Saccharomyces cerevisiae S288C: one gene and its partners. The protein of the gene in region 1 interacts with the protein of each later gene in a biochemical or structural test. Each region holds a gene or a part of one and is shown in the gene's direction. Other genes may lie near its edges.

Region 1 (4,228 bases):
TCTAAATTTTTGAGCTTTTAAACTTAGTATTGACGTGCAGCTTCCTGGCAGGCTTTTAGTTGCTGCAAGTAATAATCACATATCTGGAAGTTGCCGTTGTTTTCATCCAAACAACGTGTAAAGTTTCTCGCGTCTATTTCACAAGTTCTTCCCAACTGCTGGTCCGTTTGGGTTTGGCCGGAGGTGTTGGCCATATTTTGCTGTTGTTGCTCAACAGGAGCGGAATCAGACCCGGATCCGGAAAACATACCGGTAATACCTGCACCTAGGGTGTGTCCAATGGTGCTACCAACGGCAACACCTGCAGCAGTGGAGGCCATCTGCGCAAACATACCTGGCTGTCTCGTTTGGGCACCTGCAGCAGGAGGGTGTGAATAGGCATTTGGTTGTTGTTGTTGTTGTGGATGAACTGGAGCCGCCATGGTAGAAGCGGACCTTGTCTGAGTAGGTCTCGATCTCGATATAGGTCTTGATGATCCTCTTGAACGTGCCATATTTTAGAATTTTGTTGCTGTTGTTGCTTTTCTTGTTCTGTTCTTTGTTCGAAATATTAATCCTTTTTCTTAAAGGTTATAAACTGTACGAGTGATAGGCTTATATAGGTCGCGGAGATTGCGGTGGAGTGAAAAAGCGCTTTTCTTTTATACCTTTGTTCAAGGTGGCGTTTGCCGTATAAAAGCACACATGACATAACCGAACCTCGGAAAATGAAGTTGCACTGTTATTGCCTTCCAGATGTGTAGAATCATCACCATCTTCTGTGATAAATGAAGAGGGAATCGTACGAGGACGCCAGCATATTTTTACATCAAAATTTATGTTATTGTTGAAGGAACATTGAAAAGATAGGGCGGGCAAAATCTGCGATCAAGCCTATCCTCTTTCATCTCAGCTGTTCTAGATGCGTTACCCGGTGGTAACTTCACTGCATATTATTACTTTATATACCTTATTCTATATGTTGCCCGGGTAGGGCATTATGTAGCATCACCCGGAAGAACTTTTGGACTTTTCTCTGTCAAAAGATATTACCTAAAAGGGTCAAAACAAAACAAACCCAATAAAGAAAATCCAAAATATAGAACGAATAAATATCTCGAGGACCTGGGATGATCTTTGAATGTACATCCTTTGAAACAAGGCATATCTTGAACAGTTACTCTTGTGCTACTCAACTTTCGTACAATACATATAGAATCACTGAGAAAGTAAATCCAATTCAAGCGGCAGTTTCAAAGAACAATAAGCCTTTTGTGTCAAATTCTGATTCTGCTTTTTTTCCTATTTTTTCATCCTTCAATTTTGTGGCATATACTACATTAACTTTCAAGAAAACTTAAAAAAGAAAAGACAAAAAAGCTAAACTGCATAGTCAAGTTTGTATAATTGAGCTGAGTATTATTTTTTGTACACAAAAACATTGGCTTTCTTATATCTTCTCTATATATACTCTCTTTCATTCATCGATAAACGTTACATTTGTTATTCATAGAGAATAAAAATCACAGCCGTGGAGAAGAAAGAACAGAGTAAGATCAAGTCGAATAAAGATGTCGTTGGGTCCTCTTAAAGCTATCAATGATAAGCAATTGAATACCCGTTCCAAGTTAGTTCACACCCCAATAAAGGGAAATACCGCAGACCTCGTAGGAAAAGAAAATCACTTTAAACAAACAAAGAGACTAGATCCGAATAATGATCATCACCACCAGCCAGCTCAAAAAAAGAAAAGGGAAAAGTTATCAGCTTTGTGTAAAACACCACCTTCATTAATCAAAACAAGAGGAAAAGACTATCACCGAGGTCATTTTTTAGGTGAAGGTGGATTTGCTCGCTGTTTCCAAATTAAGGACGATTCAGGCGAAATTTTTGCTGCCAAAACAGTTGCTAAAGCCTCAATTAAATCAGAGAAGACAAGAAAAAAGTTGTTGTCGGAGATTCAAATTCATAAAAGTATGTCCCATCCAAATATCGTTCAGTTTATTGATTGTTTTGAGGATGATAGCAATGTCTATATCTTATTGGAGATATGCCCCAACGGTTCATTAATGGAATTACTAAAAAGAAGAAAAGTTTTAACAGAACCAGAAGTTAGATTTTTCACCACTCAAATATGTGGTGCAATTAAGTATATGCATTCAAGAAGAGTTATACATAGAGATTTAAAACTTGGTAACATCTTCTTCGATTCAAACTATAACTTAAAGATTGGTGACTTCGGTCTGGCAGCTGTGTTGGCGAATGAAAGTGAACGTAAATACACCATATGCGGAACACCTAATTACATCGCACCTGAAGTGTTGATGGGTAAGCATTCTGGACATTCATTTGAAGTAGATATTTGGTCATTAGGTGTTATGCTTTATGCTTTGTTGATTGGTAAGCCACCCTTCCAAGCAAGAGATGTAAACACTATTTATGAAAGAATCAAATGTCGTGATTTTTCGTTTCCAAGAGATAAACCAATCTCAGATGAAGGTAAGATTTTAATAAGAGACATTCTATCCTTAGATCCAATAGAAAGGCCCTCTTTGACTGAAATTATGGATTATGTATGGTTTAGGGGAACTTTCCCACCATCTATTCCTTCGACGGTCATGTCAGAAGCACCAAATTTTGAGGATATTCCTGAAGAGCAGTCACTGGTTAACTTCAAAGATTGCATGGAAAAATCTCTACTATTAGAAAGCATGAGCAGCGATAAAATTCAGCGTCAAAAGAGGGATTATATTTCTTCAATTAAATCTAGTATCGATAAACTAGAAGAGTACCACCAAAACAGACCATTTTTACCACATTCTTTATCCCCTGGCGGGACGAAACAGAAATATAAGGAGGTTGTTGATATAGAGGCACAAAGAAGATTAAACGATTTGGCTCGTGAAGCAAGGATACGTAGAGCACAACAGGCCGTTTTGAGAAAAGAATTAATAGCTACATCGACCAATGTCATTAAATCAGAAATCTCCTTGAGAATATTAGCCAGTGAGTGTCATCTTACTTTGAATGGCATTGTAGAAGCAGAAGCTCAGTATAAAATGGGAGGTCTTCCGAAATCAAGATTGCCTAAAATTAAACACCCAATGATAGTTACCAAGTGGGTCGACTACTCCAACAAACACGGATTCTCCTATCAGTTATCAACAGAGGATATTGGTGTCTTATTTAATAATGGCACCACAGTTCTCCGATTGGCAGATGCAGAAGAGTTTTGGTATATTAGTTATGACGATCGGGAAGGTTGGGTAGCAAGTCATTATTTATTGAGCGAAAAACCACGAGAGCTAAGTAGACATTTAGAAGTAGTTGATTTTTTTGCCAAGTACATGAAGGCAAATTTGAGCCGAGTATCTACGTTTGGCAGAGAAGAATATCATAAAGATGATGTATTTTTGAGAAGATACACAAGGTATAAACCATTTGTTATGTTTGAACTAAGTGATGGTACTTTCCAGTTCAATTTCAAAGATCATCATAAAATGGCAATATCCGACGGAGGTAAATTGGTGACCTACATTTCTCCCTCCCATGAAAGCACCACATATCCCTTAGTTGAAGTACTAAAATATGGCGAGATCCCAGGATATCCAGAAAGTAACTTTAGAGAGAAACTAACTTTGATAAAGGAAGGTTTGAAGCAGAAGTCCACAATTGTTACCGTAGATTAAACCAATATTAAAGTAGAAAGAAATACGAATACGAAATTACCAGTCCATTGATTGGGCCCCATTAATAACTAATACTAAATAAAATAAATGGTCTTGCCCTTAACGAAGATAATATATAATATTTACCCCTAGCATTAATACCCTTTTTCTAAAGGTACGAAATGAACAAACATCTTTCATGTTAGTTCTTCCTTTTCAATAGTTCTCATATAGCGTTTTTTTTCGCCTGAGCGGTTCTAGAGCTATATCTATTCAAAATTGCCATGCTTTTGTATTCATATTGTATGTATGGGATGATAACCTGTCGCTTCCTGAGATTTTCTCAAAAATATTGTTTTGAACCTAGATTTCTTTTTAATTATTCTTACAGGTGCCCATTGGAAGAGTGACAACATTAATTTTGAAAGCTATTCACTTGGTACATCCGCGGTTTACCAATTTTTAAGTTTTATCAAAAGCTGGCTTACTTGACATGTATCTACAAACTTAAGAATACTATTATGGGCAGTTATTTGCTAATTCTTTGTTACCTAGTTAAAATCCAAAAAATCCTGATTTAT
Region 2 (4,075 bases), on another chromosome or scaffold:
AAGCGGAGGATGATAGCTTTACTGCCGAGATATCTCGAGTAGTTGAAGATGAAGAAATTGATGAAATTGGAACAGGTAGTGGTACCGAGACAGAAAGAGCTCAGGTTTCCTACGATGCCAGGATGAAATTAGTCCCTGCTGATAGTGATGAAGAAGAATATGAAACTAGCCACATTTCTGACACGCCAGTCAGTTTAAGTTCGGCTAATGACCGGGAATCATTGACTAAAAAAAGGCAAAATACTGCAAAAATTATCCAAAATCGTCGCAGAAAGCGTAAAAGAGCAGCTGACCTATTGGATAGACGCGTCAACAAAGTATCCAGCTTACAAAGTCTTTGTATTACGAAAATTAGTGAAAATATATCCAAGTGGCAAAAAGAGGCTGATGAATCATCAAAGTTGGTATTTAACAAATTGAGAGATGTCCTTGGTGGCGTATCAACCGCTAATTTGAATAATTTGGCAAAAGCACTATCGAAGAATAGGGCCCTGAATGATCATACTCTGCAACTTTTCTTGAAGACAGATCTAAAAAGGTTAACTTTCAGCGATTGTTCTAAAATTTCATTTGATGGTTACAAAACGCTAGCCATTTTTTCGCCACACCTAACCGAATTATCCCTACAAATGTGTGGGCAGTTGAACCATGAATCATTGCTTTACATTGCTGAAAAGCTTCCGAACTTGAAATCACTGAATTTAGATGGACCATTTCTGATCAACGAGGACACATGGGAGAAGTTCTTTGTAATAATGAAAGGTAGATTAGAAGAGTTCCACATTTCTAATACGCACCGCTTCACCGACAAATCATTATCTAATTTATTGATCAACTGCGGTTCTACCTTGGTATCCTTAGGGTTATCCAGACTAGATTCTATATCAAATTACGCTTTATTACCGCAGTACCTAGTCAACGACGAATTTCACAGTCTCTGTATTGAATATCCATTCAATGAAGAGGATGTTAACGATGAGATCATCATAAATCTGCTAGGTCAAATCGGGCGCACGTTACGTAAATTGGTTTTGAATGGCTGTATTGACTTGACAGATTCAATGATAATCAATGGTCTGACTGCATTCATTCCTGAGAAATGTCCATTGGAGGTATTGAGCTTGGAAGAATCAGATCAGATCACTACAGATTCACTGTCGTACTTTTTCAGCAAAGTAGAACTGAATAATTTGATTGAATGCAGCTTTAGAAGATGTCTACAATTGGGCGATATGGCAATTATAGAGCTATTGCTTAACGGAGCAAGAGATAGTCTGAGAAGCTTAAATCTCAATTCATTAAAAGAGCTAACTAAGGAGGCATTTGTGGCGTTAGCCTGTCCTAATCTGACGTATCTTGATCTTGGTTTTGTACGTTGTGTTGATGACTCGGTGATTCAAATGTTGGGTGAGCAAAATCCGAATTTAACTGTAATTGATGTTTTCGGAGACAATTTGGTTACTGAAAAGGCCACAATGAGGCCTGGACTTACGTTGATAGGGAGACAGAGTGACAGTATATAATAAAATAAAGACATATAAAACGTGTATTAGATAGAAAACGGAAAATTGACTAATGTTTTTATTCCTATTATACTCAGATCGTCAAATGTTGCCTTTATTTTCTATTGAAGGGATTTTATGGCATCTCGCGAATAATAAACAAACAATAATAGTAAAAAAAAAAGTGTAAACTTATGTATTCAGCGCAGATAAAAGGAAAAAAACGAGAAGTTTGACGTAAAGAAAAAAGTTCGAAAACTTTTGTAGCAGTTGAAAGTTTTGTATGCTATGTCAATTAGGCCTCTCACGTTAAACGGTTTAGATGAGCCAGAAACCTCTTTTGAAGAACTGAATACAACTCTACCTCGCTTTCAATCCCATGAAACATTAACTTTGGAAGAAAACGTGCCACCATTGAGTACATCAACTTATATACCGCCTCCATCCTCGGTAGGTACTTCTGACACTGGCACGGTATTTTCCAATAGTACCAGCGCGTTTTGGTCTAATAAGCAAGCAGACGATGATCAGGACATGGAGGTAGACCAGGATGATGAATTTCTAAATGACTTCCAGGAATTCCAAAATAAAAAGGATGATTTTGACGATGCTATTAAAACAAATTTTCATTTGAGAAATGGATGTCGAACTGGCCCTTTCAAAAACGACATTTTCGCAGAAGAGTTTGATAGAAAACTGAGTTTGGAAGATAAACCAAGGCTAAAGCAACCTAGATCAATGATGGAATTGAAACCAAAAAGAAAACTATCAAATAGCGTCACTTCAAGAAACTTAAGGTCTGGTAATTCTGTAAGATTTAAGAAATCTATGCCTAACTTAGCTTTAGTTAATCCAGCTATCAGAGAAGAAGAAGAGGACGAAGAACGAGAAAGAGAAGATCAACGAGAGTTTAATTACAAGATTGATAACGATACGCAGGACACAATTTTGGCGAAATTCAGTTCAGATGATGAAGGTGACTTTCTGACAGGATTTGAAGAATTAGAGGGTGAAGCAATTGATGAAACGATTTCTTCGAACGATAAAGAAAGTGCCGACCATCCGCGTTTCTTAAAGAAGTCATCCTCATCTTTGCCATTAAAAATATCACCTGCACAATATGATATAGTAAAGCATGACGAATTATTAACTCCAGGTCTTCATAGGCGACAACGAGATTGGAATACCCAGCAGGAACTGGACTCTTTTAAAGAAAAACGATCAGTAAGACACTGTTCTAATCAAAATGTACAACTCAATGGTCCAGCTAAAATCAAAACAATAAAACAGCAAATTGATCATAATACTCCAATGAAGAAAGGTTCTATGATATATAACCCGAAAACTATGAAGTGGGAAGGAAATGAAAACGTCTTAAGCAAATTTAGTGATGTAGACACGGCAAACAGGAAAGCTTTATTGATAAAAAACAAGCTACAACGAGATGCAGATTCTAAGAAGCAAAAATATTCTGATCTACAGCATGCAAGAGCCACTTCGAGAAATCAAAAGGTCATCGGGAACATGATTTTAGATGAACAAAATTTAAGATGGGTTAGTGTTTCAGAGGAAGAAGCAGACCCTTTTGCAGGCATTCCTGAGATAAACTTACCACCAGTTGGCAAAAGTATGAAAAAACGTAGCTCCTCACCATTTTTGCGTTCCAAAAGCCAAGTTAATACGCCATTTGTTTCAAATGACAATGATGGCGTTTATCAAAGTACGGCTGCTCAAGCAAGACTCCGTAAATACCATTCAATGAGGACACTTAACGGTACAACAGAAACTCCAGAAATAAGCTCTACTTTCCATTTGAGTTCAAGAGCATTGGAAAAATTTTACCACGAGGAGAACAGGTGGTGTAAAAAGTTAGCCTCATGGTTTATACCCCGAGATGAGACCATTATCAGTGTTGATGAGGAAACAATCATGGATGAAAGTACGGTCAATAGCAAGAGAAAATCCTATATGTATGAAATCAGGAACATGGTAATCAATTCGACAAAAGATTAGCCCTTTAGCCTTCTTATAACTGTTTCTTTACCGTTATCTTGAGTACATTCATTTCTCTTACATTCCAAAATTAGATAGAACCTTGAATCGTGTCAACTTTTCGCCGACATTTCGCGTCTGACAGAAAAAGAAATGTTGCAGAAAATTCGAATAGATGTTTCAAATGAAAATAGACCATGAGGGACACATTAACATTTCAAACAAAAGAGCCCTTGATGATTATTAAAACAGATCTTTATGGTTTGTTTAGCAAACACTTTGGTAATTTCATGAATATTTGACTAGCAGGAACAGAAAATCAAAAATGTTTAACCATGATTGGAAGTACTCCATTAATTCTAAGACTTTCGCCGATTTAAACATTGAATTATTTCGAAACCACAAGTTCAAAACTGTTTTAAATTACATAATAGGTGTAGTTGGGTGGAATGGATTAAAACTCGCCCTTTTTGTTTCTGACATTTACACATGTATCAAATTGCTGGCATTCAACTCCTGGTCAAACAACATCATCAAACCATACTTACCCTTTAAAATATCCAAATGGTTGTTTAGCGGTT
Region 3 (4,804 bases), on another chromosome or scaffold:
CGTATCACTTCTAAAAGACCCCATCTTGGGTAGCTCAGGAATTTGTAAGGCAGATGTACCTGTGGTTGTACTATGCAAAGAATTACAATTTGGTGTTGGTGATAAAGGTAATCTTGTCAACCCCAAATCAAACAATTGGTCATCCACATTGGAATCCAGAATGTTATCTGATCTCGAAGCTAACAAGGGAATTCTAGAGTTATCCAATTTGGAGATAGATTTAGTTATTGATGAATTTAATTGGATGGTAGTCGGTGAAGAGCCGTATATGTCCTGTTTATTTTCGTTGTCCTTAGTTAGTGTGCTAGTGCTATTGATGGTATCCTGGGGGGTTTTAATAAATAATTTTTTATTGTTAGATCTTAGCGGCGTTCTCTGTAAGATGTTGTTGGCATTTTCCAGCCCTATGGATGTTGCATTAGTGGTAATATCCTTTCTTGCCTTCTGAAAATCCACTAACGCGCTGTTAGACGATATCAATGCTTTTGCATAAGGTGTACCGACGTCATTCAGAATTTTTCTTCCATATGGTGTCAACGACAGGGAGGAGAACCTTTTTGATGGAGATGTCGGCAGCGGTTGATTGAACATGAGATTCATGTCAATCTTACTCAGAGGAGTGCGTGAAAATGCGCCGGTGCATGAAGATGAGGGTGTTTTTCCATTACTCTTCAAAAGATTGTTCAAATCGACATTGCTAAAAACATTCTGTTGTTGACCTGGGTTCTCTGTGGTGCTTTGCTGAGCACCGTTAGAATCTGTTACAAATCGAAGTGGTGTCTTTGCCGGAGTTTTGTGAAAGAAATTGAAATTGGTGGACGGAGAGTCCAACAAAAATTCTTTGAATTGCTCTGGGGATGCAACCAAAAATTCGCTGGGTAAAGAGTTGCCGAACTGCAAAACAGAAGAAGGTTGAACGTTGATATCGTCCAAAGTCTCACTTGTATCTGTCCTTGTGACAGCAGGAGGTACAAGTGAACCTAGAGCTTGCTGTTGTTGTTGTTGTTGTTGTTGTTGTTGTTGTTGCTGTTGTATCTGCTGATGATGCGGTAATATACTGTTCTCTACCAACGACGATTCGTTGCTCGAACTGTTGTGAGCGTCTGTATTGGCAAAATGATCTTGAGTCTGTTGATACTGATTAGAAGAATAGGGCGTGGGGAATTGAGTCGTTGTAGGTAACGGACTGTTAAAATTATATTTGAATTCTGACATTACCTTCAAAAAATTTGTATCTGCATTATTGTCCGTAGAGGGCTGTCTTGAGGAAGTTGCAGTTGCCCCAGTTGAGGTATAATTTTGCTGGTAGCTTATATCTCTGTCCATAGTTGGAATCAATGCTCTATTCTGACCAATTTATTCCAATTTGGACACTTTTTCCACCCACAATGCCGATGCCAAATATTCAGAAGATCCTTGCAGCTCCTTAAGGCTCTGTCCTATTTGTTTTGTTTTGTTCTTGTTTTGTTGTTTTTTTTTTTTGCGTCCCGTTTCTTTTCGCGAGGAGGGTTACGCCAAACGCCAAAAGGCTTATGCGGGTAGTGACCTAAACTTGTTTACTGGAATGCTATTAACGATGCACAACAGATAATGAATAAATACAGATGAGTATCTAGGATGCCAGAAGTGTTCAACAATATTCAGGTGAAAAAATTGCCGACTAGGTTGAATAGTAAAAGCATACCGAAATGGATATGGATACGCAGGAGGCAGAACTATCGAGCCAGCTGGAGAATCTTACAATAAATTCACCACGAAAGCTACGCTCGAACGCGCACAGTAACAGTGGTAAAGTGTTTAAGGAATATGAAAGTAACCACGATTTTCAAGATTCAAATTTTACTTCCCAAGTTGTGGAACCTGCAATATCCGATTCTGTCAAAAAACCTCCTACAATGACAGTTTTGAACAACTATAGCACGGTGCATCAGAAAGTGCCGTCAGGTTTTTCAGGCACGACTGCTACATCTCATCAAGAAGCTCAATGGAAGCAGTATTTCCCTGGTATTGGTAGCGGCGGTGGTACCAACTTTGGTGGCGCTGTTGGTACTGCAAACAAAGTTCCTGAATCGGATCTCATTGTGAGCGACTTGGTTAAGGATTTATCTGGAGTTCTTGAAACAAATACATTTAAAAGACATTTAGATATGAAGAATAAAACTACTACTATGCAGACCCATGAAAACCATGATACGATTAGTATTTCACATTCTAAAGATTTCTTTAACGCTGAGAAGGTCTCATCGTCGTTTTCTGATGACAGCGATTCTGGCCCAGCAGCTGAGGCACATGATGTATTTGATGGCATATTACAAAAGCAAAAATCGAATTATTTGGTGGGTTCTTATCCAAGTAATAGCAACAACAAAAACAATAATAATAATAATAATAATAATAATAATAATAGTATTAATATTAATAATAAGGATAACGCTAGAACGAAGGAGGAGGACGAAGAGGACACTTCCAATTCTTTTGAATTTTCATCATCGTCATCCATGTCGTCCTCTCAAACTCAATCAGGCAGAAAATCAAAAGTTCTCAAGAAACCTCCATTGAACACTATTTCACCCGGTCAATTGGGATATCAGTTTAACCATACACACGGCGCATGGGATCCGCCGCTGAACCAGGGCTTAGATGTGTCGAGTTCACATTCTCTGGACAATACATCTTCCAACCAGTCCCAGTTCGCCACAATGGTACCAACTGGAGATAATCACACTAACGGTAAGGCACCTTCAATTCTAGATAAGAAGGCGTATGAATTAACCAGTACCAAACCAGGTGATGTTGGCTACCGCCAAAAGAAAATACAAGAAGAAGAAAATCTAGCAAATAGCGATGACACGCCCCTAGACACACCAAAATTTAATGACCTTTTTACGAAAAATGGCACTAGAGCGAAGGTTAAAGGACAAATGCGTACCTCTCGTTCAATCTCTAATTCCAATCTACTAGAAGCTCACAAGAAACTAAAGACCTTCCCCGCTGAACGGGTTGAAGATATTACGTCCATTTCCGAAGTAAACACCTCGTTCAACGAAACTGAAAAGCAGCTAATATCAATCTTGACTAGTAAACTATCTGGTTCTCCAAGCTATGATTCCGATTGGGAAAAAATCCTGAAAGTTGACCTATCAAGGGGCAAACTGAAGAATATGTTTGGCATGCAAAGACTACTACCGAATGTATTAGTGCTAAACCTTAGTGACAATGAAATGAACACTCTAGAAGGTATACCCTCGAACGTTGTACAGCTATTTTGTTCAAACAACAAAATAACGAGCGCACATTGTTCATTAGCCGGATTCCACGATCTGGAATGCCTCGACTTATCGTACAACCTCTTGAATACAAGTTTAAAATTTTTGTCACTTTGTCATCACCTGCAAGAGGTGAACCTTTCTTACAACTCCATCCAATCCTTAGAAGGGATAGGATCCTCCAGGATGAAAAAACTGAACCTTTCTAACAACGAGATTAATGGTATCATCGATTTCGAACAATTGATACTAACAAACAACTCTGTCGTGGGCGGCTGGTTGACCGTGGAAGTCTTAGATCTAAGCAACAATAACATAATTGGCGTAAGAAACATCAATTGCTTGCCCCGCCTGAAGGTTTTAAACCTCAATGGTAACCCGCTAGTTTCCATCGTGGAATCTTCTAAGATGGAGAACGGAACGTTGAGAGCGCTTTCCATCAAAAATACAGGAGGCGCGCTATCCAAATTACAAAATTACAAGTTGGATGATCAATTCACGTTCCCCTACCAAAATCTAAAGATTCTAAAACTGGACGGCTTCGCTCAACTTAGCAAATGGCAAAAATGGCCTGCCACTTTGCAAATTCTGGAGATCAACGGCGGCCTGGCCTCCTCTTTGCCGCGATTCTCTTCTCTAAAATCCACCAACTTATATTCTCTAACTATAGCTAATGTTAGAGACTTCACACACTTACCAGTGGACCTCTCCAAGGAACTACCGTTCTTGCAAGAGCTACATCTGCCAGGCAACAACCTACAAAACGCACACAAGTTAACAAAAACTCTCCCACGCCAATCAGTAAAATTTCTTGATCTACGAAATAACCCAATCACGACACCACGCCACGATCGCGCCAGCACGAGCTTGCATTACCGGCAGTTGCTCCAGCTTGCTGGCCTCTGCCAGCAGCAATGTCCCGCCCTGGCGACCCTCTGGTTAGATGACACTCCTGCCCCAACTGCCACGAATCTGTAACCCCATAACTATACCCGTACGCAGTACTAAAAATGTATGTAATTAGTAAATGTATGTAACAATTTCACCGTTTTGTGTAACAATTCATTCATTCATTCTTTTGATCCTTTAGTACCGTCCGCACATGATGTCATTTCCCCCTCATTTTTGTTTGCTGGTATGATTCCCCGCCCGGGCGACGGTACGGCTGTTATCCAGCGATGCGGGACTTCCGTCCACAGGTATCTTTTTCTCCAACTCCAACAGAGATGGAAAATGAGGGGCGGGTGTAGGTAAGCAGAATGAGGAGAAATTTGTAATGAAAATGGAAGTTCGGCGGTTATATAAATGGGGGGGGTTTGTCGGTGACAATTGACTTCACTCTCCTTTCCTCAAAAATTCTTGGGTGTTAGGATTAGAAGTATCTGGAAAACCAACCAAGAAAACTACAATAACAAAAATAAATAAAGCATGTTCAGTAGATCTACGCTCTGCTTAAAGACGTCTGCATCCTCCATTGGGAGACTTCAATTGAGATATTTCTCACACCTTCCTATGACAGTGCCTATCAAGCTGCCCAA

Evidence for each region. The genes of interacting proteins can lie anywhere in the genome.
Region 2: of the proteins of CDC5 (region 1) and BFA1, one has a biochemical effect on the other in vitro, tested with the Saccharomyces cerevisiae proteins (7 studies listed by BioGRID).
Region 3: of the proteins of CDC5 (region 1) and NUD1, one has a biochemical effect on the other in vitro, tested with the Saccharomyces cerevisiae proteins (3 studies listed by BioGRID, with this or other methods).

What each region holds. Positions count from the first base shown.
Region 1 is NC_001145.3:268,459-272,686, reverse strand, and holds CDC5 (polo kinase CDC5), read left to right. Parts: upstream 1-1,550; coding exon 1,551-3,668; downstream 3,669-4,228. Other genes in the region: MIX17 (Mix17p), read right to left, coding at 24-494; YMR001C-A (uncharacterized protein), read left to right, coding at 1,110-1,340. UniProt on the Saccharomyces cerevisiae protein: Protein kinase required for the cell cycle where it is involved in mitotic exit. A component of the fear (CDC14 early anaphase release) network which promotes CDC14 release from the nucleolus during early anaphase. Phosphorylates SCC1/MCD1 and NET1.
Region 2 is NC_001142.9:532,237-536,311, forward strand, and holds BFA1 (Bfa1p), read left to right. Parts: upstream 1-1,790; coding exon 1,791-3,515; downstream 3,516-4,075. Other genes in the region: UV-damaged DNA-binding protein RAD7, read left to right, coding at 1-1,523; KCH1 (Kch1p), read left to right, coding at 3,820-4,075. UniProt on the Saccharomyces cerevisiae protein: Part of a checkpoint which monitors spindle integrity and prevents premature exit from mitosis. This cell-cycle arrest depends upon inhibition of the G-protein TEM1 by the BFA1/BUB2 complex.
Region 3 is NC_001147.6:1,035,146-1,039,949, forward strand, and holds NUD1 (Nud1p), read left to right. Parts: upstream 1-1,688; coding exon 1,689-4,244; downstream 4,245-4,804. Other genes in the region: NDD1 (Ndd1p), read right to left, coding at 1-1,326; aldehyde dehydrogenase (NADP(+)) ALD4, read left to right, coding at 4,695-4,804. UniProt on the Saccharomyces cerevisiae protein: Involved in astral microtubule organization by binding SCP72 to the outer plaque in a cell-cycle dependent manner. Required for the mitotic exit by facilitating the binding of TEMP1 to CDC15.